Linked DNA regions of Mus musculus. The protein of the gene in region 2 purifies or fractionates together with the protein of the main gene of each other region. This does not show direct contact. Links are inferred from orthologs where the notes say so. Each region holds a gene or a part of one and is shown on either strand. Other genes may lie near its edges. The genes, in order: Git2, Pak1, Git1 and Nck1.

What was found.
Region 1: the proteins of Pak1 (region 2) and Git2 purify together in Homo sapiens (affinity purification with mass spectrometry; 5 studies listed by BioGRID and IntAct, with this or other methods). This does not show direct contact. The link is inferred for Mus musculus from reciprocal best matches to the Homo sapiens genes PAK1 and GIT2.
Region 3: the proteins of Pak1 (region 2) and Git1 purify together in Homo sapiens (affinity purification with mass spectrometry; 6 studies listed by BioGRID and IntAct, with this or other methods). This does not show direct contact. The link is inferred for Mus musculus from reciprocal best matches to the Homo sapiens genes PAK1 and GIT1.
Region 4: the proteins of Pak1 (region 2) and Nck1 purify together in Homo sapiens (affinity purification with western blotting; 8 studies listed by BioGRID and IntAct, with this or other methods). This does not show direct contact. The link is inferred for Mus musculus from reciprocal best matches to the Homo sapiens genes PAK1 and NCK1.

The regions. Positions count from the first base shown.
Region 1 is NC_000071.6:114,744,182-114,751,856, forward strand, and holds part of Git2 (ARF GTPase-activating protein GIT2), read right to left. Parts: intron 5,454-7,675; coding exon 5,381-5,453; intron 5,160-5,380; coding exon 5,062-5,159; intron 4,115-5,061; coding exon 4,003-4,114; intron 1,391-4,002; coding exon 1,248-1,390; intron 1-1,247. UniProt on the Homo sapiens protein: GTPase-activating protein for ADP ribosylation factor family members, including ARF1.
Region 2 is NC_000073.6:97,882,036-97,889,710, reverse strand, and holds part of Pak1 (serine/threonine-protein kinase PAK 1), read right to left. Parts: intron 6,240-7,675; coding exon 6,123-6,239; intron 4,959-6,122; coding exon of another isoform or gene 4,935-4,958; intron 3,414-4,934; coding exon 3,239-3,413; intron 755-3,238; coding exon 691-754; intron 1-690. UniProt on the Homo sapiens protein: Protein kinase involved in intracellular signaling pathways downstream of integrins and receptor-type kinases that plays an important role in cytoskeleton dynamics, in cell adhesion, migration, proliferation, apoptosis, mitosis, and in vesicle-mediated transport processes.
Region 3 is NC_000077.6:77,489,893-77,498,311, reverse strand, and holds the start of Git1 (ARF GTPase-activating protein GIT1), read right to left. Parts: upstream 4,901-8,419; 5' UTR 4,730-4,900; coding exon 4,678-4,729; intron 1-4,677. UniProt on the Homo sapiens protein: GTPase-activating protein for ADP ribosylation factor family members, including ARF1.
Region 4 is NC_000075.6:100,495,397-100,503,071, forward strand, and holds part of Nck1 (cytoplasmic protein NCK1), read right to left. Parts: intron 2,575-7,675; coding exon 1,862-2,574; intron 276-1,861; coding exon 81-275; 3' UTR 1-80. UniProt on the Homo sapiens protein: Adapter protein which associates with tyrosine-phosphorylated growth factor receptors, such as KDR and PDGFRB, or their cellular substrates. Maintains low levels of EIF2S1 phosphorylation by promoting its dephosphorylation by PP1.

The DNA.
Region 1 (7,675 bases), on a different chromosome or scaffold from region 2:
TCTCCAGTGCGCTGTGACAGAGAGGACAGGCTGCTACATCCATGGCGCTCACACTCCAGCAGCACAGGAAAGGGGATGGCTAAGGTGTTCCAAGGCAGGACAGAGGGACTGAGTGCTGGGGACACAGACAATGGAGCGGGTGGGACGCAGCAGCTGGCTGGGCTGCCTGGGGAGGAGCTGGGGGAGCTGGAAGGCGTGCCTGAGGAGGCCAGGGCTCCTGAGAGTCCAGCAGCAGTGCTCAGCGAGAGGCTGAAAGGGCAGCAGGAGCCCAGCCAATCAATGGATGGTCCGTCCCTGAGGGACTGGTAATGACCCTGCCTGTAACTGAGTGGACTGGCACGGGGCAGTCCAGGTAGGGGCGTCCCTTCTGCCAATATCAAACAGCAAATGCTGGACAAATCTAAGCTTATCTCCCTGCTTCAAACCTGCAGACCTCGGCAGCCTAGCTTCTTGTTTATTTGTTACTCAGTGTCTGTGGAGTGCCTATCTGAGTCTGTCCTGAGGGTTCAGCCTGCAGACCCCTTGGCCCTGTCCCCTGTTCACTCAACAGTGCCCTGTCTCTCTCCCTGGGCCCCACTGGCCTGAGCCCTGAGGCCGTGCTGCAATGCCCTTTAGAGCTGAGGTCCTCACTGTGCTGTCCAGAGTCTCTGCACAGTGTGGGGCTCTTCTAGGCTGTTCCAGCCCAGGCTTTCTTGTTCTGCCTTCTACGCGGGTGCAGGACAGCACATCTATGAGGCCTTGTTTCAGAGCCCTGTACTGTCAAGAGCTCCTCCCTTGATGCTCTCTCTTCCAAACTCCTAACCTCCAGCTTGTCTGCTCTTGCGATGCGCACCACCTGTGCAGTGCATAGTCTCCTGTCCCCTGCTTCCCCATCAGTGAGGTCATGAGGGGAGGAGCTAAGCACACTGGGACACAGAGAAGCCTCCAGTCCTGACCTCAGCCTAGAGTCAACGCTGATCCTTCACTTGCTCAGTGACAGGGCCTTATTTTAAGAGCATTTATTTAATCTTTGCTTGGCTTGAGTTAGCAGTGAGCCTAACTTGAGCCCTCTCACAGCACCTTCCAAGGCCTAACCCTTCTGCCAGTTTTACTTTTTCTGCCATGTGTATGTGTCTTCTGGTGGCACTGGGAAATAAACTCAGGGCCCTGTATATACTGGCGAGCACTCCACCATTCAGCTACAGCCCCAGGGCAAGAACACATTTTAGGAGGAGCACGTCTGTCCTGTGGGAGGTGTGTCCTCTCACCTTCTGCCGGTTTGCCTTGCTTGCCCTCGTCTCCACGTCTGTGTCTTCATCGGAGGCCACACTGTCATAGTCTGGCTGGTCGTTGTCTTGGCTCTCAGTGCTGTGCTGGGTACTGACTGTTCTCAATATGAGCTCCACATTGTCTGTTCACAGAAGGAGAAAAACTACTTCAGAGTTAAAATATATTTTTCCTTCTAAAAAACTACTAAGGTGACTTTCTGGTTTAGCCATTAAAGGGTGAAGAAAATGACAGAAAGAGCAACGCCCGCAGAGGCTTAAGGGACAGTCACACAGAGCAGTTCCAATGCTTCCCACTCACCACAGAGCTCAGCCACACCCCTTGGGGTGGCTGCCAGACTGAGGGGGGAAGTCACAGGTTTGCATGCACAGGGCACTGCTTCAGCCATAAGAACATAAGGTGAGCCAGGCAGTGGTGGCGCACGCCTTTAATCCCAGCACTCAGGAGGCAGAGGCAGGTGGATTTCTGAGTTCAAGGCCAGCCTGGTCTACACAGTGAGTTCCAGGACGGCCAGAGCTACACAGAGAAACCCTGTCTCAAAAAATCCAAAAAAAAAAAAAAAAAAAAAGAGAGAAAACACCCAGCCTAGAAGTCAGGTGCAAAGACAAGAACAGCAGTGGTCACTCATATACATCCAGGCTGTGAGACAGACAAGGGGACACTGGACCAAGTAGACACACACGTGTCTACATTATCAGTAGTGTCCATTCCACAGACGGGGAGCAGTGACTTACACACTCTTGCACATTTAGAATAAGTGTTCAGAAATCCCCAAACATTTTTGGTTTATTTGAGGCAACTCAAGTTAAGCTCCAATTTCCAAAGATGTTTTACAGACAGCTTCATCTGGACAGTGAATTCTGATTTCTTAAGATATAGCGGTCCTATTTTAACTTTTACAATGAATCTTTAAGATTCACCAGCATGGCCGGGTGGTGGCGGCGCACGCCTTTAATCCCAGCACTTGGGAGACAGAGGCAGGCGGATTTCTGAGTTCAAGGCCAGCCTGATCTACAGAGTGAGTTCCAGGACAGCCAGAGATATACAGAGAAACCCTGTCTTAAAAAAAAAAAAACAAAAACCAAAACAAACAAAACAAAACCCACCAGCATGCCAATACAGAGATACGGTACAAAGACTGAATACAGAGGCTGTAACCACTCGTGAGGGACAGTGGCGATCACCCAGGCTGAGACACGCTGGCCTGCTTCTTCTAGTTACTGTTCTAAGCATATATGCACACATACAGGCTTGTCCTCAGTGAATACAGGCTAAAAGCTTGTCACTCACTGAGACAAAGGACTACAGTTCCTGAGAGCCGCCAGTCACAGCCTTATCATGAGCCAGTCCACACACGCTTCTGTTTAAGGACACCCTGTGTGACACATACCGTGGATTCATGACCACAGTCTGAGGCCACTCCATTCACACCAGGAAGATGCTCACTGTGCACACACAGCTTCCCACGAACCTCTCCTTAGCCCTCTTGCATGCAGGCACACTGTTCAACATCTTCCCATTGTGCTCAGAGCCTTTGTTAGAGCAGTGAAATCACCAACAAAAAGTATGAGAACACAGGCAAACATGGCACTGAGCAGTCTACGCGAGGCCAGTGACAGGGTATGAAACTGAAACCTGCAGGAGGGTACCAGCCTCAGCCTCAGCCAGACATCCAGACAAGCATCAAATCTGCTGTCGAGGAGCAACCACATGTGCATATTCATCTGGGGAAGGCACCTTTCCCTGTACAGTTACTTATATTAATACACACACCTTACAAAACAGAGACTATAGCAAACCTTTAAAGACTGTATTGTTTTACTCCACACCATGAAGTATTTCCAGGAGATGTCTGTACATTAATCATGTGACTGTTTCTCTAGAATTTATTATTTAGTTGTTTCTAATGTTTTTGACATTATACACAATATGGAATCTCTCATTATTTCTCTTTTAGAGTGGGCATATTTTGAGGTTTCAAGTTTATACAAAACCTCTCCAGACTGCAACCTCACCAATTTAATGCCACTTCTCAGAGCATCTTTACTGCTGGCTGGATTGATAGGACCAAATTCCTCAACAATCAAGAAGAAACATAAATTACTGTTACTTAATAATTCCTGCCTTAGGGGAGTGTGATATTGACAGGAACCTTAATTTTTATGGTACAAACATCTTGTTCAAGTACCTCAAAATAAAAAGGCATAGTTCCTGTATCTATAAAAAAAACAAGAACAAACTTAAGGGCTGGCTAGGAGGAAGCGGGCCCTACGTCTGGAGATAGGGCCTGTAAGAGCCATTCTGAAATAGATGCTCAGCGGACATCCCAAGGCTTCTCGCTACAGACATTTAAAATTATAGCAGTAAACAGTACTTATTCAGAGGCAGGGGTTCTGAGTTAAGTGACAGCTGCCATCAAGAGTCTCCATCGCCTCACTTTATGTCCTTAATAAATTTAAGAGTTAGGCTTTTGGGTTAATTTCAACATGCCAATTTTTGGGGAAAATAAGTGATTATGAAAAAATACATATAAAATAAATGTGAATTATACGTAGTAACTTTGAGGTACGCCTTATTCTTCAGGGTTCCAACAGGTACTTCTCTGTCATAGTCTATTAGTGAGGAGACTCTCAGGATGGCTGTTCTTATGACTGCCCCATCACCTCCAGCTCGGGACTCCACAGTGCATCCCAGAAGGCCCAGGTGCTCTCGGCTGGGGCTGGGCTGGACACTTGCCTTTTGACCTGGACAGAGGACTGCCCTGTTGTCTCCTCTTGGCATCACTGAGGATGTCGATGACCAGCGTAGCAAACTCGTGGGCGTTAAACCGAGCTAATTTCTGTCTGCCCTAAGGGAGAGAAGAGAATGGGAAATATTACCCAGTGTAAGAATGTAAGCGCGAAGGGCGACAACGAGTGCCCAGGACTGCAGCTGACGCAAGGGTCTCCCAGCTCAATCATGGAATCTCAGCCACCATCACTCTCTAGTCAACACTAATATTTCCTGTGGCAGAGGACTTAACATCTCCATTTCTACAGCAGAGATTACTGTAATGAATTATAAAATGGTTCTGGCTGTATAGCTCACTGCTGGGACAATTGACAAGCAAGGATCAGGCCCTGACTTTGATCTTCAGAGCTACCAGAATAGAAAACTTCTAGTACCAGTGATTTAATTTGCAGTGCGTGAGAAGTGAATCTGGAGGGACATCTCTGACTTTAGGGATAAAGTGGGTCTGCTCTTACAGTCAGCCATTATTCAGCACCAACCCCTCTCCTCCTTCTCTCCCTCCTGTCAGAGGCTGAGGCTCCCTTCAGTGTTCTGTGGTTATAGACAGCACAAGGGTGGAAACCACATGTATGTGTCTGCTTTGATTTTATTGGAAATAGCCTTAACTGAGGACTCCTTTGTACATCTGAGGCTTTGGATCAACTGGAAAACAAATTACCCCATTTCGTTCTCTCCACCATCTCTGTCATGGCCCTGGTATGTAGCCCAGGCTAGCTGCCAGCTTGAGGTCCCCCTGTTCCAGCTTCCTGAGCAACAGGACCCCACCAGAAGCCAACAAGCCACCCACAAGCTAGGCAGTGGCATGGGACCCCCATGCTCCCCGACAACTTGGAGTCTCCTTTACGATCTTTTATCCTTTCTCCTCACGTTTGTGTGTCGTTTGTACTTCTCTTACCAATTCTCACACCGTCTGTTTCCGTGTATGTCCACAAGGACACCAAATATCATGCCATCAGTCACTCCCCAAATAATACTATTAGTAACTCTTCATACAGAGCCACTTGCCTGGTTTCGTGTGGAGGAGTACTCAGGGTTGACCGGAAGGAAAGGGACGACGGTCGTCTCGGTTACCAAGGTACTGTGGTTCTGCGTGGCAAGCCAGACTAGCCGGAAGAAAGGAGCCGAGAGAGAATCTCAGCACCCCCGCGGTGGCACGGCTCATGCACCGGGCGGGAGACCCGGGGAAGCCCACTTGGAAGCCAACGCGCGCGAAAGCACGTCTCTGCACATGGGCTATGAGGACAGGGGCATCTGGACAAGAAGAAACCCAGGCCAGCAGCTGGCCGCCGCCCACCGGGAGTAGGTAGGCCGCATGCTACGTCACCTGCGTCAGTCTCTCGCCTGTCAACTTCGTCGTACACATCCATGGCAAGTTCTTCAAACAAATGATTACTCAGCTGAAAATAAACACATCAGGGACACAGGGACAGCAGTTAACATGGGAGCATGCCTGTGCCGGCCTCACCCTTCATCTCCGGGCGGGTGGGGTGGGGGTGGGGGTGTTCCTACTCAAAGCCAGCTCTAGAACAGCATTTCTCAGGCCCTGCTCTTTGACACACAGGCTACTGTCACAAAGAAGGCAAGAGTAACTTGTTACAAACCCTCTCATACACAAGTCCCCCCTGCTCCCTGTGTCAGCCAGCACCCCAGAAGTCTGCTGTCCGGAGAACTTATGTCTGCTCTACAACAGGAAGGGGATGGCGACGGGGCTCAGCGTCAGGATGTCTGCCCAGGTTGTGCAAGGCTATGGATTGGATGGCTGCACTGCTGGGGTGGGGAAGGGTGCCACTGTGTAACAACACGCGTCGCAGAGAGGCTTCCTATCAAGCAAAGCACAGCGTGGCCGCCACCCCACCCCAGTGCCGCTTGGGGTGCAGTTCATAGCACAGCCCCACAGACCAAACTTTCATACAGCAGCCAGGAACTGGAGGACTATCCAGGTCTCCCCACGGAGGCAGGCTGAAGCCCCAGCCTTGGGGTCTGGCTCCTCTGTCATCCTGCAACTCGAGGACTATGGCCTCTTTATTGCTTTGCATCCTGTGTCTTTACTGACTGCCTCGTGCCCCGTGTAAAAAAGCAGAGTATGAAATTCTGCTACTACAGTTTCGAGAAAGAAAAAAATGGTATGCGTAGGAAATAAAGGCTGAGGGGATATGCCAAGCGCTGAGCATGCGCTGGCAGAGAGCGAGGTGACTGAGGATGGTCCCATCTTTCTTTAAGTTCCCTAGTGCCCTCGGATTAACTGATCATTCAAAATAAACCCCACAGAAGGCGCTCACTGAGGACCCTGCAGGGGTTTGGATTGAAAGCTGTTTTGTTGTCACTCGTGGCCACATGGCAGAACTGCTCAGGGCCAGTGGCATCTTAGACACAGTGCTAAGGACACCATCCAAAGCCAGCAGCGAGGACAGGACAGAGTTCACTACTGTCTTACTTTACAGACAAGGACATCGAGGAACAGACATTTTCATAACCCAAGAATACATTGTTTTTTTTTTTTTTTCTGTTATATTTCTCTCAGTTTTTCACTAGGGAGGAAGGAGAGAGTATGAGACAGACTCAGGAAGGGAAGGAGGAAGAAAGAGAAGGATGGAAAAGGGTGGAGTGGGGGTTTGAGTGCTGCCCTGCGCTGCTAAGAGCAACACCTACCCGGAGGAGGGCCGGGATGCCCAACAGGGATGCCCGACAGTGTCCCCTTCCCAGCGCTCCTCTTGGAAGGCTGTGCTTTGGGGGCTGCCGTGAGCTGGGCAAGCCTGACACACAGACAGCCCAAGGTCTTAAGGGCATAGGAAACTATACCCAAGGTATGTATTTAATGCCCACCCCATAACCTCAGGCTTCATGTGGTATCCAGCCCAGCCAACAGACAGAGCAAGGAGGAGTCTGATGCCAGGTACAAGTTTGCTTACAAACTACAGTAAGGACAAGGAAAGCACACACTCTTGCGCTGCCTCGAAAGCGTGACATCTTATTTATCTACTAGGTGGCTTCCTTAAGAAAGGCATAATACACTCAAACACACAACTATAGATACAGAACACAGAGACACCAAACAAATTGCATAAAACATTTATTTCACAGTATAATTAAGTACTAGGAAGGATAAGTCCACTTTATGTGATAGTGATATCGTATGAGGCTCTAAAAATCTCTGTGAAAGGGAAGGAGGGAAACCACAGGGCAGGAAACCGGGCTTTGCTCACACATGGAAGCACCAAGTTCTAAGTCTAAGAGGAGCCAGAACCAGACAAGGCAAACATGCAGGCACACGTCCTGAAGCAGGGCTCCAAGGCAGTGGCTTTTGCCCTCAAGAGAGCTGATTCACAGAGCTGCTCCAACAATGCACGTACACCTAACCAGAGGGGAAGTAAGCTGGTGCCTAAGGGTCTTTAAAGGTCACAGAGAGAAGTCAAGGCTCTTGGTTCTGATGCAGGGACCACTGAGAACAGGTAAGGAGTGAAATCTCACAAGGTGAGCAGAAAGCACCTGGTGAGGCATCATGGGAAAGACAGACAAAGGGCCTCTTGCCGGGAAGACAAAGAGTAAAGTGATCTTGTGACCTGCAGGGCTGGGTAAACCCTGAGCACACACAATGGGTCCAGGCCACAAGCTCTCCGCA
Region 2 (7,675 bases):
CAGTTTGATTTTAATATTTGTATACAACTCATGTTCACCACTAAGCTCCTTGCACGATTTCTCTATTCCCCTTTTCTTTGTCCCATCTGACCTCCTCCTTCCAGACAAAAGCTGACTTCTATAATTCTTTATATGCCTTTCTATCTCCTGCTGATGTGAGATCCTTGAGGGCAGACTGTGTCTGATTCATATCCATATTCACACTTCAACACACAACAAGAACTCAGTTAAGATTTGCTGAGTTCAATCGTGCGAGACAGCATATGCATTATGGAGATGAAACTAAAGAGTAACAGTCACAAAATCTGTCACCAAGCTAGAAAATTAGATCCCTTCTCACTACTACACACTCTATAGATCTGGACCTTAAATTTCATACTAGTGATGATAGGTCTCAATACTTGGGCAGATAGGATTAATATAGAAAACTAATTATAGTTTGAAAAACTGGTTTTATGCTAAGACAATAGGTGACTCGTTTACTCTTGCTGCAGGAGTACTTTAGTAAGGCCAGGTAATCGTACATTTCTCATATAAGGCATAATTCTGCAAAATTTGGAAGTCATCCTAGTATCAAACTTCCAGATAGGTGAGGCAAAAACTACCACCACCAAAACCAAGCAAGTTCATACATGTCAGTAAATACAACTTTAAGACATTTCTCCAAAGAAACAGAATGCCGCTACTAACCCTTGTCCAATCTTCTCGAACCGTGTGTACTTCTTCTTAGGATCACCCACACTCACTATGCTCCCTTTGAAAGAAACAGAGACCATGAATCATTTTGTTCCAGCTCAAGATACACACAAGATCCCATGATCCTCTTAACTCCCTAAGTTGATAAATTTTTGTGTCCAGTTCCCCAAAAGCATACCAGCCAGGCAATTAACTTTTCCCCAATAAATCCCAACCAAAAGTATTATATCCTTGACTGTGTTCTTTTTAATAGTAATTTATTCCACTTCTAAACTTCTAAGAGCTAATCATTTTTAAATTAATTCGTTAACATTTATTCATTTATTACATACCAGACTATATGCTGAGTGCTACAGATAAAGAGAAAGATGAGGCACATTAAGACAGTCACTACTCTCAAGAGGCTGAATCTATGGAAAAGACAAGCAAACGGAAGGTGCTATAAAAATACAGTGATTGCTGTAGTGAGTGCTGACGGGATAGGGAAGAGACCGGAAAGGCTTCAGAAAGGCACTGTCTGAGCTGACTTTTATTGTAAGTACAAGTCAGCCAAGAGAGCTCTTAAGCAGGGGATACTTTAAATAAAAAACAGAGAAGCATGAGAGGCCACAGGTCTCACAGCAGTATTCTAGAGGCGGGGAACTAAAACCCACAGAAGAAAGATACTTCTCCAAACTCATCTATCAACTGGTGCCAGAGTCCAGTTCTAAATCTCTCAGCCCTACTAGCTTTTCCACTGATACCCCAACCACTAGGATTTGGTACTTCTCACGTATGTTATTATATCCTTTAATTTAAAACAAATCAAATGTAAATATCACTATTTAAAAGGTATGAAGAGGAAAGGAGACTCAAAGAACAGAGGAAATTGTCCAGGCCAGAATATTCTTACAATGCATTGTATTACTATTTAGGGAAAAAATTTGGTTTAGAGGACAGGAGTGCATGTGATTACACAGATGCCTAAGAGTGGTTTACTTCCTCATATGAGGGCCCTAGCAAAAACAATTCCTTTTTGTTTTTTTGTTTTTGTTTTTGTTTTTTTGTTTTTTTTGAGATAGGGTTTCTGTATATAGCTCTGGCTATCCTGGAACTCACTTTGTAGGCCAGGCTGGCCTCGAACTCAGAAATCCGCCTGCCTCTGCCTCCTGAGTGCTGGGATTAAAGGCATGAGCCACCACGCCTGGCTACAAAAACAATTCTTAAAGACAATAAATTAAACAAACAAACAAACAAAAAAGTTAAACAAGAATTATTAGCAAGAAATAGGAAACCACTAAACTAAAGAACCACAAACCTCAGCTTTAGAAAGCAATGTGAGCATACAAACTTAATCAAGCCAGTCACATCAAATCCTTTTTCAATGGTCTCCTAAGCCAATAAATAAATACATACATACATACATACATACATACATACATACATAAATACATAAATACATAAATAAAATAAAATAAAATAAAATAAAATAAAATAGAAAATAAAAATCGACCTAGGCTGGGCAGTGGTGGCGCACACCTTTAATCCCAGCACTTGGGAGGCAGAGGCAGGTGGATTTCTGAGTTCGAGGCCAGCCTAGTTTACAGAGTGAGTTCCAGGACAGCCAGGGCTACACAGAGAAACCCTGTCTCAAAGAAAAATGAAAATAAAAAAATCAACCTATACCTACTGCAATAGGCAATATGTTCTTTTTACAAAACACATCTTGATCTAACCTTAGCTGTGCCACTTTGCAGCTCTATGATCTGGACCAGGATATAGATTCTTTGGGTCTAAAAAAAAAACCTTAACTGCATAAATGAGGATTACCTGAGTATCTTCAGAGAGCAACTACAATAAAATTTAAAAATTCAAGAAACTATCTTGCTTGTCATTTGTCACACAGAACAGGATGATAAAACATTGGTCTCCCTTCCCGTCTTTTTCTACAACCATGATGGCAGGCAGAGCTGTCTTCTCCTAGGTCAGGGTTAGAAAGCATCAACAAGAGCACCCTTTTCCACCAGACACAGTCAATACCTCAATCTTTCTCCATACAATACTCTAGACTACTCTCAAAATAAAAGCCTTTAGCTATGCCCATAACCCTCAAAGTGAGCTGCCCACATTCTCTCTTATTATGTCTCTACCCTAAGGTAATGCACACCCAGAGCTGGTGAAACAATGAAGGGGTGAAAGGTCAGATGATGAGTAAGCAGTACAGCCCATAGTTCAGGTATTAAACAGAGCCAGCCAGGCACATGGCTTAAACCTAGGATCTAGATTTTTTTTTTAAAGATTTATTTATGTATTTTATGTGGGTACACTGTTGCAGTCTTCAGACACACCAGAAGAGGGCATCAGATCCCATTATAGATGGTTGTGAGGCACCATGTGGTTGCTGGGAATTGAACTTGGGACCTTTGGAAGAGCAGTCAGTGCTCTTAACCGCTGAGCCACCTCTCCAGCCCAGGAGCATTCAGATCTTTATTGTAGCACTCCATCTCAATGATTAATCAGGCACAGACTAAGGGAAGACTCAAGAAAGATATAAAGTCCTTACGTAATTTCTCTAAGATCTCCTCATCAGACATTTTAGGCTTCTTCTTCTGTTTTTCCGTGTTCCGGGTCAAAGCATCTGGCGGAGTGGTGTTATTCTCAGTAGGAGAAATAGGAGATGTAGCCACATCCCGAGTTGGAGTAACAGGAAGTGGTTCAATCACAGATCGTGTATATACCTGCATAATCAGTGGGAAATTTTAGCCAAGCCAACCTTTGTTAGCATAGTGGAACCTCTTGTAAATGTTCTAGTTAGAACATCCCAGGAACCTCCCCTTCACCACTCATCCCTTCTCTTCAAGGCCAAAATCTGCACTGTTCCTCTTCTGAGCCCCAGCCCATTTGCCCTGGGTAAAACAACCTTCGTTTACTCTCACTTTACAAGAAGGGTTAGTGATGGCCTTAGCACTGAAATCACTTCAAAGCCACTAGGTGACTCTCAGTAAAAACTTGGAGATTTTATCATTAGATGGAAACCTTTCTCACCCACAATACTCTGCTTTTTTTCTGAGCTGAAACTCATTTGTATCCTCTGTCACTTTGCAAAACTTAACACTTTTATGGAGTTATCCCTCTTGAGCTGTTTAGCGCTTACCATGAACTACTTTTATTCATCAAGAGACAGGAGGATATAGTAATATAATAATTTTGTTTTAAAATTTAAAACAAACTTGGGAACTTGATGACCTGGGCTTAATTCTCAGCCAACATTACTATCTGAATTACTTCAGTCAGTTTACTTCGCACCTCTGTGCTTCAGTTTCCCTGTCTATAAAACAGTGACAATAACCACCTTATTTAATAATAAATCAACATGTGTGAATGACATGGCCATGAACAGCAGATATTAAGCATTCAAACCTCAGCTTTTAAAGACATTGTATTTCCTATTTATTTGTTTGTTTAACAAATATTTACTGAGAATCCCTGGTAAGCCTAGCTCTATTCAAAACACTGCCCTACTCATTCTGAAGAAGGAAGTGAGAAAGTAACTGCTACAAAAGCAAAGGAGAGATGTTACTAAGAAAGGAGCAACTATATACTACTAAGGTTAAGAAGCAAGTACTTCCAGGCTGCACTTCCTTTTCTAGAAGATGTGTATTTATCAGATTTTTTTATCATTAAAAAAGTCATAATTATTTTTTGATCATCTATAGGGTATACTGAGACAAAGAACACATATTATTCCTCCCTGAGTCCTCTAACTCTAACCCAATAAAAAGCAAGCATTCAGATAAGTGTTTAAATAGAATGAATTAACAAATGTACATATCAGATCTTTCAACTGGACTGGCTTTCTGACTACTCTAGCAAAGTAAATTTCTCAATTTTTATTCTTATACCTGTAGAACAATTATATCCCAATTACTTAAACTTTCTTTGCTTTTCCATCATATTGCCTTGAGGAAAGATATTCTGTCTGTTCCCTCTATACCATTCTCCTTACCTGGTTCCCAGTGCATGCCTACACACACAACAATATATATAATATGTGCACTACTTTGGAATGCAATATGGACTTGGATTTAATTATCTGCTCTCAAACCCTGGAGTTTGTTTACTAAGTAACTATGGATAGATCAATCTACTGACTCAAATCTCATTTGCTTCTTCTATAAAATAGGACTTAGCAGTATTTATTTTAGAGAAGAATGCTAAGAAAAGCAAATTAATCAATATATTATTCAATATTTACTGACCTCTCTCTGATCCTTCTGCCCAAACTATATTACCAAAAAAGATAAATAACACATAGATTAAATACGAGATAGATAGATAGATAGATAGATAGATAGATAGATAGATAGATAGAAGGATGGATAGACTGATAGGTAAATAGATTTCTTTTCTATTTAGAGGAGTTCAAGATTTAGAGAGAAACTGTTAAATAAATATGCCTGCAAACCACAAACAGGACACTCTAGGGAGATATTGACAGCTCACTGATTTAGAAGGCTACTTTCCTTAAGGTAACTTTGTGACTTACAGACAAGGAAATCCAGATTCTATTTGTAAGTTCTTAGGCTAAGAGGTAGGCCATCTAACTGAATTTCCTCCACAGCACCTTCCATTAAGACATTTAATCAACACAGAGCTTAAGTCTCAGAGGATTCTTTCATTATGGAGTTCTCATACTAAACAGCCAAAACAAACATTAGTAGTATTTCAGAGTATCATCAGATGGGAGATCACTATTCAATGATGCTAAATCAAAAGGCAAAGTTGCAGAGTGGGCAAAGTGCAGAAGGAGGGAGTGTGGCTATTCTAAAATGCAGGAACCTCAAAGGAAGTTAAAAGAGAAATCACTACCAATATCTGGCATCAAAATGCATTCCTAATGTCCAGCATATTAATAGCACTAATGTATTTATAAACTCTCCCAGGTCTTTCAGGATTATCAAAAATGCTGGAGAGGCTGACCACTACATAATATAAAACAAAAGAATAAAATCTCTGGCAATTTACTGCTTCCTAAGAAACTGGAATAATTTATTTTATTCTGAAAGTGAAATGCACCATTCTATATACCTAACCAGTAAAGAAAAGGGTAGGTAAACCAAGGTTAGACTGATATAAACACCAATTACCTAGAGAACTTTAGGAATAACTGAAATAACAAGCACACCACATCTCTTTAGTCATGTAGAAAGTGGTCCAGCTGGGCACAGTAGTGCATGCCTGTAATCTTAGCACTTGGGAGAGTGAGGCAGAAGGATCACTATGAATCAAGACCATTCACATGAGAGGGGGAAAAAAAGTAGTTCAATGACTTCACCAGTGCCAGTCTATGGACCCCTATGCACCAGTCTTAGTACCACTACCTCCCTAGCTTCTGCCACCCCTTATGTGAATAAATCGTATAGCCTTCAAGATCCCCAGAGACTCACAGATTTTGTGTGTTCTGGGCGTGGAGCAATCACTGGAGGTGGGGTAGCATCGTCATCATCATCTTCATCTTCTGACACTGGTGGTACTGCTGGGGTCTCAGACACAGTCTTCACATTCTATGCAGAAAGGACAAAAATCAACCGGTCCAGTGGACATAGAACTCCAGATCCCAGGTCTGCTAGTTCTTTAGAAGGTAGTCAATTCTGACACCTCTTCTGAAAGGTCATCAACCAAGGCTCTCCATCTTTGTGCAGTCAGCTGTCTCACTCAGACAGCTTCCTTCTCTCTTAGCCATCACTATCTATTCACTCTGAAAGCTTCCTTTTCCCATCTAAAGACTAAAGAGTAGTAAGCCAGCTTATAGTTTCCTTACCTGCCTTATACAATCAAATACTCAAAGCCATGTTCAGGTTCTCCTTATTCTGTGAATTTTACTCTTTATAAAGAGCAGAAAATAAGTGTAAAGAGGAAAATAAAAAGTATTTAATTTTCTATACTTTATCACTGTGATTATTTGTTCTTAATATAGTAACTTAAAGTCTAAATAGCACCCCCACTTCCTTTCTCCAAACTCCTGAACCTATTATATTATAGGGTATGGCTGTGGCAGACCCTGTGGGTTTCCCCGAGCTTCAGTCCTGCCTCAGGATGAACTTTACTGCACCACTAGTTAGATCTGCAAATGATCTGCAGCAACTTGATTTTCCCATGCAAACTGTAATAAAGCTAGACAAAAATAACCAGACTCAAGATAAGTGGATCTAAAACATGAGTAGTTGTTCTTATTGTTATTGTTTTAGTAGTAGGACCAGAAAGGCAATATGGATTTTTCAGATAAATGGACATAAATTTCACATATTTTCAGAGTGCCTAGAATACTGTGGTGGATTCTGTCAACATCAAAGGCATAAAAATGAAAAAAGATGGTCCAAGTTCTGAAGTAGGTCACCATCACTAGACAGAGCCAGAGGGTGAGGCCCTCTCCTGCCTACCACCTGAAGCTCCTGAGAAAGGAAAGCCAAGAATCCCAACAAGTGACAAGTTGAAGAATCCAGAAAGACTGAACATTTGATACACTAAAGAAAGCGCAATCTCAAACAATAAAAACACATCATAATAGAGCACAAAACTTGACAGTGTCAAGCACGTATAAGCACCAAGTTATGACCACCATAGGCAGTACATCATCCTCTAAAATATTATGAGGAAATGTGAAACAAGAGTTATATAATTTGAGGGGAAAGGAGGAAAAATGAGGGGAAGGGAAGAGGAAGGAAGGAGAGTGGTAGGTTACATTATACGATGCTATCTCAAGAAAAAAAAATGTAAATGAAACAACAGAGACCAGAAGGCAATAGGATGATATAATCTAGAGCCAACATTTTAAAAACTTAACAATCACAAAATCTATATACAATAAAACTACCTTTAAAAAATGGAGATGAGGGTTGGAGAGATATATCAACAACTAAGAACATCTGCCACGGAACCCAGCAACCTGAGTTTGATCTCAGGGACCCAAAGGGTGGAAGGAAAGAACTATCTCCTGAAA
Region 3 (8,419 bases), on a different chromosome or scaffold from region 2:
CTAGTCCTTGGGGTGAAATGAACTTGGGAAACAGGAATGGGGGCTCATGGATGGAGCTCCTGGGTCCTCAGGGTAGGAGAGATGCCACCACACCAAGTCCCTCTGGAAAGGGGAGGAGACAACTGCACAGGGCTCAGGCTACAGAAAGGAAAGGTCATGGGGGAGAAAGCGGCCATTGTGTGCTGTCCAGAGTGGGGGCAGGGAGTCGCTCTTCCAGGACACTCTGCTCTGCCCAGGCCCCCACCCAGGCTCAGGAAGCCTTGTTCTGGGGGATGGGGCTGGCTCTCTGCCTCGCCTTATTAGAACTCAGGATGCTCAGCAGTGGAGGCTCTCAGGGGCTAGAGTAATCTCTCCCATCCATAAGACAATTCTTGGGCCCTTGGAGCCAACGTCACCATCAGAGTTCCCAGAATCATGAGCAGACTGAGTCAGGGCTGAACTGCTGCCCATGTTGGGGGTGTCCCCCAGTACAGTGTGGAAATGGGAAGTGAAAGCTGTCTTTGGATTCGGGCTTCTTTTGGAATCTCACAAAACAAGGCAAGGAGGGATGTACAGTGACCACCACACACCTTCCCAGGAGATGACTTTTAAGAACTGGGGAAGAGATCAGCCACCTCTGCCAAGAGGGGGAGCCCTAGAGTACTTTTGTGTTGGTTTTACCCAAACAATGAGAACCACGCCCCCCTAGGGCATGGAAAACTCCCTTCCCCCACTCCCAAACACCACTGGGTCAGGGGGTCTGCCTGCCAGTCACCTCCTGCAGCCCAGGCAGGAAGCGGGAAATGATGCAGCCTAAATTCCTCTTGTTGAAGAGGTAGGGTTTCCTGTGAGTGGGGAGACGCCCAGGCCGGGATCAGAAGCGGCCAGTCCTGAGGCCTCCACCCGAGGCCTGTGGCCCTGTGGAGAAGCCAGGCCTACAGGAACCAGCTTGACATTCTGGGCCAGTGGTCCCAGAGCCTCAAGCTCTAAAGCCTTCCTGGCACCTTCTCCCTGCTTGAGAAGGGTCCTCCTTTCCCCTGCTGTGACCTCCAACAGGAAGGGAGGGCAGGGGACACTGCTGATCTTAGTCACACTGGTGCCAGCTCAGTTCTGGATGACACAGATAGGAAGTCTGTGTCTAACAATTCTACCTGTACTCTAGGTCCAAATGACCTTGGCTAGCCAACGGAGCTGCAAACCCCACCTCCACCAGATCTGAAACGGAAGGGCCAGGAAGGGTTTCTAAGAAGCTCCTTGCAAACTGGGCAGGAGGGTAGGGAACATGAGGCCTGGGGAAGGCAGTGTCTTCCTCTAGCTGCTCCACAGGCAGGTGAGGGCTAGTGTGACCAGGTTATCAGAAGGGACATCAGGATAAGATAACTGGTGCCAACCATAGGAAGGTCTCTAAAGAAAACTCATGCCGGGGCTGGTGAGATGGCTCAGTGGGTAAGAGCACCCGACTGCTCTTCCGAAGGTCCAGAGTTCAAATCCCAGCAACCACATGGTGGCTCACAACCATCTGTAACGAGATCTGACGCCCTCTTCTGGTGTGTCTGAAGACAGCTACAGCAGTGTACTTACATGTAATGAATAAATAAATTAAAAAAAAAAAAAAAAAAGAAAACTCATGCCACCACCAAAAGCTACTAGGCCAGCAAAGGGCCAGAAGGCCTGGACAGAAAGCCCAGGCTCAGGCCTCTCCCCCTCTAAGCTAAGGGTCAAGCCCTTGGAAGAGGCGAGAAAAGAAAACTGTGCTAAAAGCAGGCAAGAGGAATCCAAGGGGAAGGAGGTTTCCATTGGGGGTGTGGTCAGAGGTGGGAGCTGTAGAGAGCTATGGAAATGTTATATTCACTGGGCAGAGTGGTGGCCACATAGGCTTACATATGCCTGAAACCCACAGGATAGCCACGCATGGTAGGGCATGCCTTTAGTCACAGCACTCAGGAGGCAGAGGCAGGTGAATCTCCAGCTTGGTCTATATAGTAAGATCCTGTCACAAAAAAAAAAAAAAAAAAAAAAAAAGACAGAAAGACAGACTACAGGACAAACACTCACCTGGCTATACAGCCAGCTGGGCAGTGCTGGTGCATACCTTTAATCCCAGAACTCAGGAGGCAGAGGCAGGTGAGTCAGAGTTCAAGGCCAGTCTGGTCTACAGAGTGAGTTTCTACAGCTAGGACCATATAGAAGAGACCTTGTCTTAAACTGCACACCCCCCCTCAAACAAAAGACCACTACCATATTTGTTCTTGTAAGAAGGCAAATGAGTCTGTACATTGCCCTGCAACATATTCCCCAGCTCTGGTGACTTACGGCCTGGGTATCTGAAGATCTTTCCTCCAGCCTATCAGAATGTAAGGCCCGATGTAAAGGTGGTGGGTTGGGAAGTGAACGTTTGTTAGCCAGGCCAGAGTTCTTGGGACCAAGGCAATGAGGAAGAGTAGGCAGAGGCAAAGTAAGGGGACAATCACCCTGTGATTGTGCACCCTGACTCCTGCCCTCTCCTGGATTCCCAAGGCAGGCAGGGGCACAGCACCTGGTAAGGTGACACAAGCTGCCACAGCAGCCACATTGTGTCCTTGCAACATAGTCACACCTGTCTCTGAGCACAGGCTCACCTCCTACCTCTATCACACTCCAAGTTAATAAACTACAAAACCACCATGACCCCACTCCATGATCTCACTCCATAGCCCTGGCTGGCCTGGGGATCTGCCTGCCTCTCTGTCTCTCAAGTGCTGGGTTTAAAGGCATGTGCTACCTACCATACCCAGACAATAACAGAGTTCTATCACAGTGACTCTGTGACTCTGGGCTATAATGGGATATATATGGACTATATTTTATCATATGCATGGGATATGAGAAGGTCAGGCATGCTTATGCTCTCTTGTCTGGGATGCTATAGGCCTAGATCAAGGATGCCATTGTCTGTCAGACCCAGTGTGGCACAGGGCACTCCTGACAAAGACCAACACTTGTACCTGGGGAATGGCTGCCACGTGGCAATCACTACACTACACACTAGGTGCTAAGGTGGGATAATGAGGAAGACTGTCAACGCTCTGCCCATCTGCTTAGTAATTTGCATTCTGCATCAGAGAGAGGAAAAGAAAAGAATCCTGAGGCAGGCCTGCCTCTGTCACATGAGGATGGGGGCTATGAGCTCAGTGGCCTAACATCTAACACACCCTGTTCCTCCCAGCACCGACTGGGTGTCCAGAGGCTGCAGCCAGCCAGTCACAGACTCTATCTGCTCCAGAACCAAGAATGTAGACTGGGAAATGCAAGGGTCCTCAAAATCCATTTCTGTTCCACCTGAGACCCAGAGTGAGCAAAGCATCATAGAATAAGCTGGAAACAAAGCTACTACCTGACCCTGGCTCCCCTGATGGGGCCTGCTAGGCTCCACAGACACACCGCTCATCCATTCAAGGCCAACCGGGGAAAGGGAGTCGTCATTTCCAGCTAACTAGGGGTATGGATGTCCATCTGTAAACGGATCTTCTAGGACCCTCCAAACCGTGACATATCCTAAGGAGGTCTCAGGGTCAGTCACCTACAAGGTGTCCCATGTTCATGACTCTGCAACTACCCACAACTCCCAGTACTCCAGTTTAGATCATGAGAATTACAGGACCATCATTCCTTGGGCTCACGGTCAGATCTTGGGATTTTAAGGGGTGACTACAAGTTATGGGCCTGCATATCAGCACTCCACACTCTCACCTAATCACATCTTCATTACCCAGAGTCCATAAGACCCCGAGACTGTATGGAGACACAGCTTCTTTTATAGAGGATGGGCAAAGGCCAGAACTTCCTGCCTCCAGCCAGCTGCTGAGTCCCATCAACGGCTGTGTCCTCCCAGAGAAGGGACCAGCCTGGTGAGTTGTTGCCCTCCCTTCACTTCCTCAGCAAGCCAAGGGGGCTTTCACAGCAGCTCAGACCGACTCACTCTGCTGGTTAGTAGGGAGGAAGCAGTGTGTAAGTCCAGTTCGCTCAGGAGTCAGCTGGACCAGGGGAGCATAAGCAACCTCACCGCTTTCTCCTATCCAATGAGCTAGAGACCAGGAGGGATCGGCGTCTAGACTGAACCAATACCTAGCACACCTTCTCCAACAGGCCTACCCGGAACAGGAAAAGCTGAGTCTAGATGTTCCCAGACACCAGCAGGCCTGGAGATGCTTCCGGGGAAGATGCCCATGCTTAGATTGTTCCTGAACACCGGGCCCTCTAAGCAGCCCCAGCCTTGGGAAGCAGGGGCGGGGAGTCTTAAGAGTAGCTGCCCCTGTCAGGTGCTCCCTAGGAGCTCGTATCCAGGCCCCTTGCCCTCCACCGCTCCGGCGGGCACGCGGGCCATGTGAGCAGCAGGTGCAAGACGCGGGGGTGGCAGGGATGACACAAACCATCCTAGCGCCCACCTCCCACAGCCTGCCGGCCTCCGCCACAGCCCTCCTGCCACACCAGGCTGGCGCTTCCGTCTGGATGCCGCGATGGAGGTGGGAGGCGGTTCCCTCCCGTTCACCGGCTCCAACGCACAGCGCCCCCCGCAGCCGGCCCTCCCGCCAAGGACGCCGCTCCGCAGTGGCCCCCGCCCCGCCCTCCGGCCCGGCACAGCGCTCCCGCCAGGCCTCGGCGCCCGCCCGGCGGCGGCCTGCGGCGCGGTCCCGCCCCCGACCCGATCCCGCCGCTTACCCGGAGCGCTGCAGTCCGCACACACCTCCGCTCGCGGCCCCTTCCGGGACATCCTCAGCGGCGACGCGGCCGCAGCCCTCTGGGCCAGCGTGGGGGGCGCGGGCGGCGGGCCCGGGCGGCGGCGGCGGCCCTGCGGCCCGGCCCGGCTCCCGCAAGGCCCCGGCGAGGCTCCGCGCGCGCGGCCAACCGTCCGCCCCCGGGGCTGGCCCGGAACCCGCCGTGCCCGCCCGCCCGCTCGCCCTCGGGCGCCCTCCGCCCCGCGCCGCCCCGCGCCGCCCCGCGCCGCCCCGCCGCCGCTCGCCGCTCTCCCCGCCCCCTGCGCGGCCCAGGCCGCTCCTGCAGGAAGCAGTGAAAGCCCTGCCCACCGGGGGAGGGGCGGCCCGCACCCCGCCCCGGCGCTCCGCTCAGCTCCGTGGCTGAGCCTCTCGGAGAAAGGAAGCCTGCGCGCAGGCGGGAGTGGACGGGGGTTCTTAAAGGAGCCGCGGCCCGCGCCCGCCTGGTCTGCAACCGAGACACACGCTAGCACTTTGACCTTCACTTTCCGATTGGGGAGTGGTCCAGGGGACGCTCGGCCCAAAAACCGAGAGACGGACGTGGTGGGGATCGGGGTGGACAGGAAGCATTCCCAGGCACAATGCTCCTAGCGGTCAGAGGCTGGGTTGGGGTGAGGTGTGTGTTCTGGTCCCCTGTGTCCAAGTCAGTGTGTCCAGGTGGGTCTGTGGCCATATCCCTGCGGTGTACACTCACTACCACCAATATGGACGGCCAGGTGCCCGAGAGGTCACTTAACTGTGACTCCCTCTCTGTGGGACTAAAAATACATCATTCTTGTTTCAAATAGGAAAGCAAAGAATCTGGGTGATTATTAAGAGTGTTGTGTGCACCAGTAATAACTTGCTATCTGTTTCGTGTACATCAACGATGTTTCCGGGCTGCCCGACGGGTGTGTATGTATCCTAAGCATATGCTTATAACAGGAGCCAATTTTTGTAAGGATTTTTTTTTTCTTGGACTTCTCATGGAGACGGGGGTGGGGGGAGCAAGGAACTAAAGTGCATGTTGCACGTGGGTGCACCCCACACTGAGCATGCTCCCCCATACACGTGTGACCCGTTTGTGCCCAGCCCCCACCCCTACAGCCGCAAAAGGGCTGTCAGAGAACTCAGCTTATGGAGAGGGCAAAAGCACACAACACCAGGTTGGGGGGGGGGGGGTGAGGGGCGGCGGCGCGCTCGTAGGGGAAGGGGCAGGTCAGCGGTGGCAGAGTTAAGGGAGATTCCTGGGTGTTAGGGATTCCTGCTCAGTAATAAAACGGAGGTTTGAGGGGAGTCCTTGGTTAGGGGTGTCTGAGTGGGTCTATTTCTCCCAGCAATGCCAGAGCAGCAGTGACTTGTGGGTGGGCAGGCTCCTTCCCTAGGGGGAGACAAGTAATGCTTATGAGTCACACCACCCAAAATACACGCAAAGTTCCATCGCCTTTTGCTGCAACCCAGATTGACAAGTTTGTTTGAAATTGTGATCCACAGGATATATTTATAATCTCACCTTAAAAAAAAATCTTGCAGACACCCCCCACCCCCAACCAGTAGCTCAGCAGGTGGGGCTTCTGCCAGCAAAGGGTGGTGGTCATGCCACACCATGCTGCACTCATACCCAAGAGTCTGTAGGCTTGGTGGCCGCAGCAATGGAGGTGGGAAGCAGTCTAGCAGCTGAAACTGGGCGCGCAGCCCAGGAGCAGTGGCCGCCCGTTCACCCCGGATCGACCCCCAGCTATGGAATTTCATTTATTAAATGTCGAGGCAGCTGCTGGCAGCCCCGTCGCTTGGCTGCCTTTGTTTCTTCGCTGTGTGGGCGCGTCTGGAGCACGTGGCAGCCAGGGCGTTGAGACCAAAGGGAAAGCGACCTGGGCTTCGTGTGATAGCCGGCCATCTGGCAAAAGGGCAACCTAGCCTCTAAATGCATGCTGGCCTCTCTCCTTTCTTGGAATACAGGGCGTGCAGAGGAAGAATGATTCACGTCCCCCCACCCCGGCCACCCTATCTCCCTATTGGCTCAGGGACTGCCTGGGAGGGACCCTGGCTCACACAGTCCAAACTTTGTTGCAGAACCCCCAACCTCACCACAGCCAAGCTTTAGAGCTTGAAGATGGGGGAAGAAGGGTTTCTGGCTTCCCCGAAGATGTCATCATCCCAGGAACTGAACAGCTCAAATGGAATCATACACAAGGTTTTGAAAACGATTTAATGAGGAATTGTACAGGCATTCTCGCGGCCTCTCCTAGTTGCCCCTCCTTTCTCTAGCCCCCTCCTCAACTCGGGCTGCAATCACGACACTCTGCTGACCCCTGGCGGTGGAGGTGGGCTGCGGCTCTGGGCTGCAGAGACGCCTACCGGCTCCTCCCAGGCTGCAGAAAGGGGCGAGGCAGTCTACTCAGTCCTCCCGGGCCTGGCACCACTGGGTGTGCAGGAAGCAGGAGAGAAGAACACACAAAGAAACCCAAGAAGGGCGCAAGGAGTTTGCAAGCTTTTGCTGTCGCTTCCCACACAAACACTCTCTAGATTGTTGTTCTAAATCGGGTTGGCCAGGAATTCCTTATTTCTGCCTTGAGGTGGGCTCGAGGAAGGCAACATGTTCGCTCCTACCACCTGTCTCAGGCTGGTTGAAGGAGAGAGGGGCCGTTTTCAGGCAGTTCATACCCTTAGCTCATCCCATGAGGTAGTATCTGATCCCAGTTTAGAGGTGAGTGGGCCGAGAAACTCTGAAGGATAAGCAATTTGTTTAAGATCAAGCAATTGTTACGGTATTTAAATACAACTCTCTTGACATTTTCTCTCCCAAGGCATCTTGGTCCTTTTACCATTTGCAGGTGGCCGCCACAGAGGCCAATTTGACTTTGACCACACTCTCTGCAAGGGCTCCTTGTGGAAGCGCTTGTCTCTCTGCTCTTTCAGGAAGCAGGCAATCTGGACTCAGTCATTTTCCTTAGGCAGGGACCCACATGGGATGGAGGTGGGGAAATGCCACCTGCTGCTGTCTTTGCTCAACCTCATCCTGGTTCTTGCTGAGCCATGTAGGGGAAAGACTGTCTTCTTCGCCTCATTAGACATTCTCTTTTCCAACGTGATGTGTGGAAGCTGGGGTTTAATTTTCTGAGAGAGCAAAGATTTGAGAAATATTTCGATTCTCAGACCCCTGGCTGCTTCAGTGACCCTTGGTACTGATGCCCTGCATCTCTCTTAGGGTCACTCTTTAGTCACTATGAATCTAGATGCCTCTTTACCCTCCCTGGGACCCAAGCTCACTTCTGCAGGCCATAGACCCCCGACCCAACGCTTCAGGTCAGCCCTAAAAGCCTCCCCCATTTCCTTGCAAAAGGCAAAATGCCAAAGGGTGGAGGCGCCCCCAACCCACTTGGCATCCAAGTAAGGCCTCCGCTTCGGCCGGGTTTGACTCTCTGTCCACCCTTCCAGGAAATCAGTTCCAGACCATCTCTGGTCATCCGAAACGCACGGTTCTACCAGGCGGACTACAAGCCCCATGATGCTGCGGGGCCAAGCTGTAACTAACCCAGCACGGCGCACCCGGGTCCCCTCCTCTCTTCCCCGCATTCGCTTGTCCCTCACCGTCCGCTCGGGCTGAGGGCCGGGCTATGCGGCTTAGGGGAGCCGGAGGGTGCGGGCGCGCGTCCCTGCGGCGGCGGCGGCGGCGGCGACCCCGGGGCCGGCGCCCCGAGCGCCCCCGC
Region 4 (7,675 bases), on a different chromosome or scaffold from region 2:
TACAATTGGCCCAGCACTTTCTCAGTCTCCAGTTACATGACCAGTTAAAGCTGTGGAACAGTCACTGCTGACGAGCACTATCAAGACAAATGCTTGACGAGATATAATTTTTCTCCTTGCTCACTTGTAAAGATCGGTGCCTTTTTGTAATGTTCTACAAGTTCCTCCATGGTGCTGAATTTCCGCTGCCCAATGCAGTAAACAGTCTCTTTCAGCTGGACTTTAAAATGCTTGTTTTTCCCTTGTGCTTTTAGTGATACTGAGAAATCATTTGGCTAAAAGAGAAAGGGGGAGGGGGAAGTAAGCATTTTGAAAGCCATGTATCAGAAGGTAAGATAAAAAATAACTGCTGAAATCTGAACATTTACTAATAAGTACAAGACACTATACTAAATTATTTACATACTCTTCTTTATTCCTCAAAATAAACCCTTTTTATATAAATGAGAAAAATAAGGCTCAGAGAGCATGCCTAGGATCCATTACCTGGTAATAGGGTGCTAGTGTCTCCTAACAGTTATCTACAGTACCCACAAAGTAGTGAACACAAAAAGTAGTTTTCAGAAGCCCAAGAGAAAACATCAGAAATTTCAGACTTTCACTCCATCTCCTATCAGTTCAGAGTGAACAGTAACTGACTTATATAATACTCTGTATTTTCAAAAATAATGGACAAATAAAAATTCAACTAAATTTCCCCCCCATCCCCAAGACAGGGTTTCTCTGTACAGCCCTGGCTGTCCTGGAACTCACTCTGTATATCAGGCTGGCCTCGAACTCAGAAATCCGCCTGCCTCTGCCCCCTAAGCGCTGGGATTAAAGGCGTGCGCCACCACCGCCCGGCTTTTTTCTTAATTAGGTGGTGGCAGCTGCAGGTGTCATTTTAAACCTAATATTTCTGAATAATGTCAAGTCACGAATAGTGACTTTTAAATGGTATGCTCTGCATATCAGGATTTTAATAAGAAAATGGACTCCCATTATCTTGTCTGTTAGCAACCCTCTGACTCCTGAGAGGCTAAAGGCCAGATTTCTCCCAATTTTCATCAGGAGGTTCAATTATCTCAGTCTCATACACACACCACTGTATCTCATTCAACCTTCTGTACAATGTATTTACAAAAAACCAGTACTAACCATGATCTGATAAACAGAAAAGCAGTGATTTATCAGGAAAAAGAATTTTTAAAAAACAACTGTCAAATTTTAACATTCAAAGGAACACTTTTAAGAGATTATTAATGATGTCATTTTTCAATTTGTATGGCTTTACTGTCTAGCTGGTACTGCAACATAATTTACCTTTTATTGCAAATATATTTTAAATGGTGTTAAGCAGGTTGAGGTGAATAATTTAAGTCAGATATAGTAAATCTATACGTTCAAGGCACCCTGGTCTACCTACACAGTGAGTTTCAGGGCAGACCGAGTTATACAATGAGTCATTCTCTCATTTAAAAAAAAAAAAAAAAGAGGGAGATTTTAATCAAACAACTAATTTATAAAGAAACAATTTTTATATTTAAGAGATTTCCTGCAAGAACTACAGTGACGGCTTTCTTATCTCTAGTAGCAGTTAATTTGCATCATCCTACTCTCCAGGAAGAAACCAATGCTCAGCCTGCCCCATTTTTAAGTTTAATGGGACAGAAATATTCCAGATATGCAAATTTAATACAACTGAAGAAAGTCTCTTAATACAGCATATTCAGTACTCAATATCTTACTCAAAACAGGCACGCTGGAAAGAACAATATGATCACACCTCAGTTTGGCTTAAGGAAGCCAGCCACTCAACCTTTCCAACCTTATTTATTAATGCATGGAGCTCTATTTTCATTTCCTTTGAAAATCAACTTACCGAAGATTCACTGTCACGAATGAGGAAGTCTCCTTCATGCCCTCTTTCATTTAATGCCATTTCTGCCTGGTGCCTGGTGACTTTGCCATAATACCAAGGATTGCCAGCAAACTTCCCAGTGAGTGAAGGCCTAATGTAATCACATTGTGGAGGAGATGGTTCCAAACCTGAGGTTAATGGATTGTTTTGCATAATGGTAACGTAGTTTTTTGGCACCAGGCCAACCATGCCATTGATTTTCCTGCATTTCCACCACTCTGGGTCATTTTCCGGCTTTTCAATAACATCCATTACATCGCCTTTCTCAAAATTGAGTTCTTCATCATTGGATGAGCTAAACGGGTAAAGAGCCTGTACAACATGCAATACTTGACCCGTATTTAGGTTATTGACAACTGCTGCTAATTTCTCTGACAGAGAACCTACATGATCACCCAAAGGACTGTCACCTTCTTCAGTTACATAGTTTGAAGGAAACCATCCAATTTGTCCGTTGTAGCTGCCACGCCACCATCCATCACTGCATTTCTCCATGACGATCACCTTGGTCCCTTTTATCAATGACAACTCATCCTCTCTCTCAGCCATGTAGTTAAATTTCACAAAAGCAGGCATGTTAAGGTCATAGAGACGTTCTCCTGGATCAACAAAGCTATCATCAGCAGGAGATGCAGTATCTGGAACACTGGGTTTTCTTTTCACTTTTCCAATACCTGTTTAAATAAAGAGGAGGCCATAAGACTATAGCTTCAACTTGATTCACTTACCTTACCCAAGCCTCTAAATGTAGCAAACAGACTATGACATGATGGATCATCTTTTGGGAAATGAAATACAAGTTGTTCTTCCATAACCAAGCCAAATAAACTATTAAGTTTATCTTCTTTTCTCCTGCTAAAGCCAAGAAATAACTGCATAATAATAAAGTTGCCATGTTGAATTTTCTCGTGTTAAAATGGTTTACTTCTTTCATAGCTACAACTAAGAAGACAGACACTCTAATAATCCCACACTTGGACATTTTAGTTTATTGACCAAGATTTTGTAACGAGCTGTATAAAAATGAAACAACTATTTAAATTAGTACCTGTGTACATATAAAATTATATCTGGGTAATCTCATTTACTAATTTCTTAGTTTCCAAAGCCAGATCATATAATGTGTTATATATGTAACACACAATTATTAGCCTCTTTGGCCTTTTCATCTTTTCATATGAAAAATAAGATCACAGGCAAGCTCTCCATGTTTTCATGCTGCCCCTCTTACCGTGACATTTGCTCACTCCTGTGTTTCTCTGGTCCCCTGTGAGCCTTGCTGTAACAATGTCTTATACTCTATTACTTGTCTGCTTCCTAATAGAAGAGTCAGCTTCCTAGGGACAGAAAACTAGAATTTCCCCCTTTATCTTCAGTGCCTATAGTTTATATATTAGTGAGCAGGAGAAAGTAATTGATGAATGAACTAGTAAGTCCTTAGTTGAAAATATTTTTCCAAGATGGCATAGTTGGCCTTCTCTACATTAAAAAACAAAAAACAAAAAAACAAAAAAACCCCATATACTTTCCTTTTAACTTCTATAGATTTTTTCAGATTTACTTGAAGATTTAAACCCTTGCTCTATCTGGAATCTTAACACTAAGAGTTCTATCAACAGACACTGTTAGATGTAACCAACACCTCAAACCTGTATTCATGTCCAAATAAAAATGATCCCTCCTTTAAAAAAAATATCCTTCTATACCTTTAAATCAACTGTGTCCTTAATTTCCTTACTTCTGGCTAATGAGGTCATCATTATGAGAAATCTTTACAGCAGGGTGACATCACTAAAAATGGCAGAGTAGAAATTTCAGGACTTCCTCTAAAGATCAGTTAATGAGATGGCAAGCACTGTCAGTATCAATTTTGTAAATCATGGAATCTGGTGAAGAAAGCGAAGTGGCAGGGCAAGGCTCAGTGAAGAAAGCGCTGCTTCTGTTAAGATGCTGAAGCAGGAAAGAGGCCTTCCTACTGGTCTCCCTCCCCCAGTGCAGTTACTCTGAGGATAGCTACCTAACAGACCTCGGACCTCTGATTCCAGAGCTAGGTTGTCTTCCTAGGTGGATTGGGACAATGAAGAAAAATCAAAAAGCTGGAAAAGGAAGATAGTAAGAAAGGTAACACATGGGGAAATGAGGTACTTAAAAGCTCCTGTATGTTCTCAGGAACCAACATGATCACAAATGTGATCAGGGCTGGACGGATGCTATGGAAAAGTCTAGAGAAAAAACCCACCTTGATCTTTATCTCTGCTGACCTACAACTTAGTAGGTAAAGTCCAAGACAGAATTGTAAATGGCTTGGCCAAATATTAAAAGAGTATACAAGCATACAGCCAAACTATAAAAATGGAGATTTCCATTCCCCATTTTCTTTTGGTTCTGTATGTTTAAGAAAACAATGTCAAAATACTAGCTATGAAACAGATTTCATTAGCCATATGAATAAGAATAAAGACTTTACAAAAAATAATCAAACAATTCCTCAAAGATAAAGAACTTAAGACATTCTTAACTCATCACCAATAAACTTGTGCTTTTTAAGGAAATGTAAAAAATAGTCTTCTAGATGGAAATAAAAAAGACATCAGACAGAAGAAAAAAAATGAAGTCATACAAAGCAAGAAAAAAGAATACCACCAACAGAGACAAGCTAATGTGAACTAAAGTGCAAGAAGCCTCGACCCTAGCCAAAGAACAACATACAGGCAACTAAGGAATGCTGAGAGCAGACACCTTCCCCAAGAAGAGCACACTGGTTAATTCTCCAATGCCAAATTGTCAGCCCTGCAAACATACATAGGAGTAACACTATACAGAATGAGCAGATTGTATTAAATATTTAAGAACACACACACATACCAACACCACCAACAATTAAAGAAAAAGAGACCGTGTATTTCAAGGAGGGTGCAGAGCAAGGGTGCTTGGGAAGTGTTGGAGGGAAGAAAGTGAATGTGGAAATGTAATTAAAAGCTCATAAATTTTAAAAACAGAGAAGAAATAAACAACAATGGTAAATATAAAGTCAGTACTAGCCCAACTTTTTTCCTTTGTTCCTATATGATTTAAAAATACATAAATCATATTTTCAGCCTAAGTAAGTAGGCAGTGTATAAAGAGATAATATATAATGATATAAGGAACAGTTATTTATACCATCCAAACCACATTGGGAATGACTTAAACTTGTTAAAAACAAAATGCTAATTGTAATTTCCAGGGTAGTTTCCAAGGAAAACCTAAAAACTACAAAAGGAAACAGATTAAGAAAACAGCACATTGTAAGAAATGAAACACAAAGGAAGCAGTAATAGAGGAATTAAGATGGGGAGGCATAAAGGAAGAAAGTCCCTCTTCATCACTGATAGTATACCTAGATTCAAACCAACCTACCCTCCCACCCAAGGACATTTAAGCACTTCTTGTTAAAACGTCCCGGATCTTGTACTTCACAAATAACTGTATAATAGTTTGGGTTTTTTTTTTTTTTTTTTGTACTGAGTTTTTTGTTTTATTTTGTTTTTAAATCAAATACAAGGCATATCTTTCAGTGAGGAGTGTTCATGGTTTACTAATCTTTTGCATGCACTACACCATCGAAAACTGTATATGGAGCGGACATACAGCGTAAATAGTACAGTGAAATAAAATATTTTAAACTTTTCACTGAAAATTAAATTCTTAATCCAAATGACTTTTAATCCTAAAGAAAATATCTATAACTAGTTATAGATATTCCAATTATATATGCATTCTGATTACATATTACCAGAAAATAAAGAATTTCTAGAAAAATTCAACAACTAATATCTCAAATGAGAACACATTAAAAACAATCTGCATTAATCTAGAGATGAGAAATATTTAAAGGAAGAAATCTAAGGGCATGGTACAGTTTCCATACACTAGAGGCTCTCCATATCTCTGTGAACATGTCTTCAACAACATGCCTCCTCCTCTCCAACTACTACTATAACATACCACAGGCAGAACAAATTTCTTATAACCACTAGAACACTCCCATCTATTCTTCAAAACTTGGCAGAGATAATGTATTTACTCACTGAAGATTTCCTTTCCTCTCCCCCAAAGAGTCTATGTGTTTCTCCTTTTACTATTACAGTTTTTTTTTTTATTTTCACCTTAATGCTAAATACAGGCCGAGCATCCTGCTTTTCCCCACTCTCTATCCCCAGTGCCTCGCCTATATTAAATGTTCCATTAATCTTTACCAGAAAAAAGAACAAACGGAGGCAAATGGCTCTGTGAGTAAAAGTACTTCCTACCAATCCTAATGACCCTGTTTGACCCGGCATGATGGAATGGAGACCCGGCATGATGGAATGGAGACCCGGCATGATGGAATGGAGATCCGGCATGATGGAATGGGGATCCGGCATGATGGAATGGGGATCCGGCATGATGGAATGGGGACCCGGCATGATGGAATGGGGATCCGGCATGATGGAATGGAGATCCAGCATGATGGAATGGGGATCCGGCATGATGGAATGGGGACCCGGCATGATGGAATGGAGATCCGGCATGATGGAATGGAGATCCGGCATGATGGAATGGGGAACAAGCATCCATAAGTTGTTTTCTAACCTACTTATCTGTGCTGCGGTATGCACATGAACAAACAAGTGCTCATGTGCACGTGCATGGTGTGCACACACAATAAATAACTATAATACATTTTTCTAAACAAATGTATGTGTAACAGTAGGTTGTATTTTCCTGCTTTACAACTTTGTTTCTATTACCAGAAAATGGACATTACAATCTGCTATCAACAAAGGTTAATACAAAAATATTTTACAAAATAATTTTTAAAGTATTAAGTCACCTAACCATTTACGTGATAATTACCAAGGATTAGATCCTTTCTTTTAGATCAGCTTCAGAATCAATATTACTTTCCCCCAAAATTCCACCTATCTTCCTTTGTTCTGCCTGCTCATTATAATACGTAAGTCACACAGCTTACAGTTAACCAATATTTGTTTCTCATAGTTCTGGAAGCTGGAAGTCCAAGCTAAAGACTAAATAATGAGGTTTTTACTCCTTAGAGTTCAGTGCTCACATGGTGTAAGAGATAAATAAGCAAGCTTGCAAATGTTTTACACAATGGCACTAATCTAATTCATGAAGGTTTTTGCCTTAATAAGCTAGTCACTACCTAAAGCTCCTCCACATCTTAATACCATTCCATTGATGGTTAGGTTTCAACCTGTAAATTCTGGGAGTCACAGCTGATACACGGTAGCTCATGGTCTATAGTCTCAGTTATTAAGGAAAACTGAATGAACCAAGGAATCCAAAACAGCTTTGGCAACATAGTGAGATTCTGTTTGTTTTAAAAACAAACAAACAAAAACCCCACTACATTCATAGCACATCTTGATCTAGCATTTTAGTTTACCACAATCATCCTACCTTCAATTTGGTTTTTTTTCCCCAAATTATTTTATTCCATTGCTACTCTTATTCTGATTGTAAGTCTTAAGGGGTCTATTATGAAAACTTAAAAGACTTAAATTTATATTTTCCCCTTGTCATCTTATTTAATTTAAACAAGTTATTTAATTTTTAAACTTCAGTACCTTTATAAAATATTGATATGTATAAAACTATATTACAAAGTTTTGTAGAGTTTTTTTAAGTGTATATATTAGTGCTTAGGATAATACACAGCACATAGTAGGCACTCAATAGATAACAGTTGTCAGGTTTTTTTTGTTATTTTTCAGAATTATATAAGCCTTT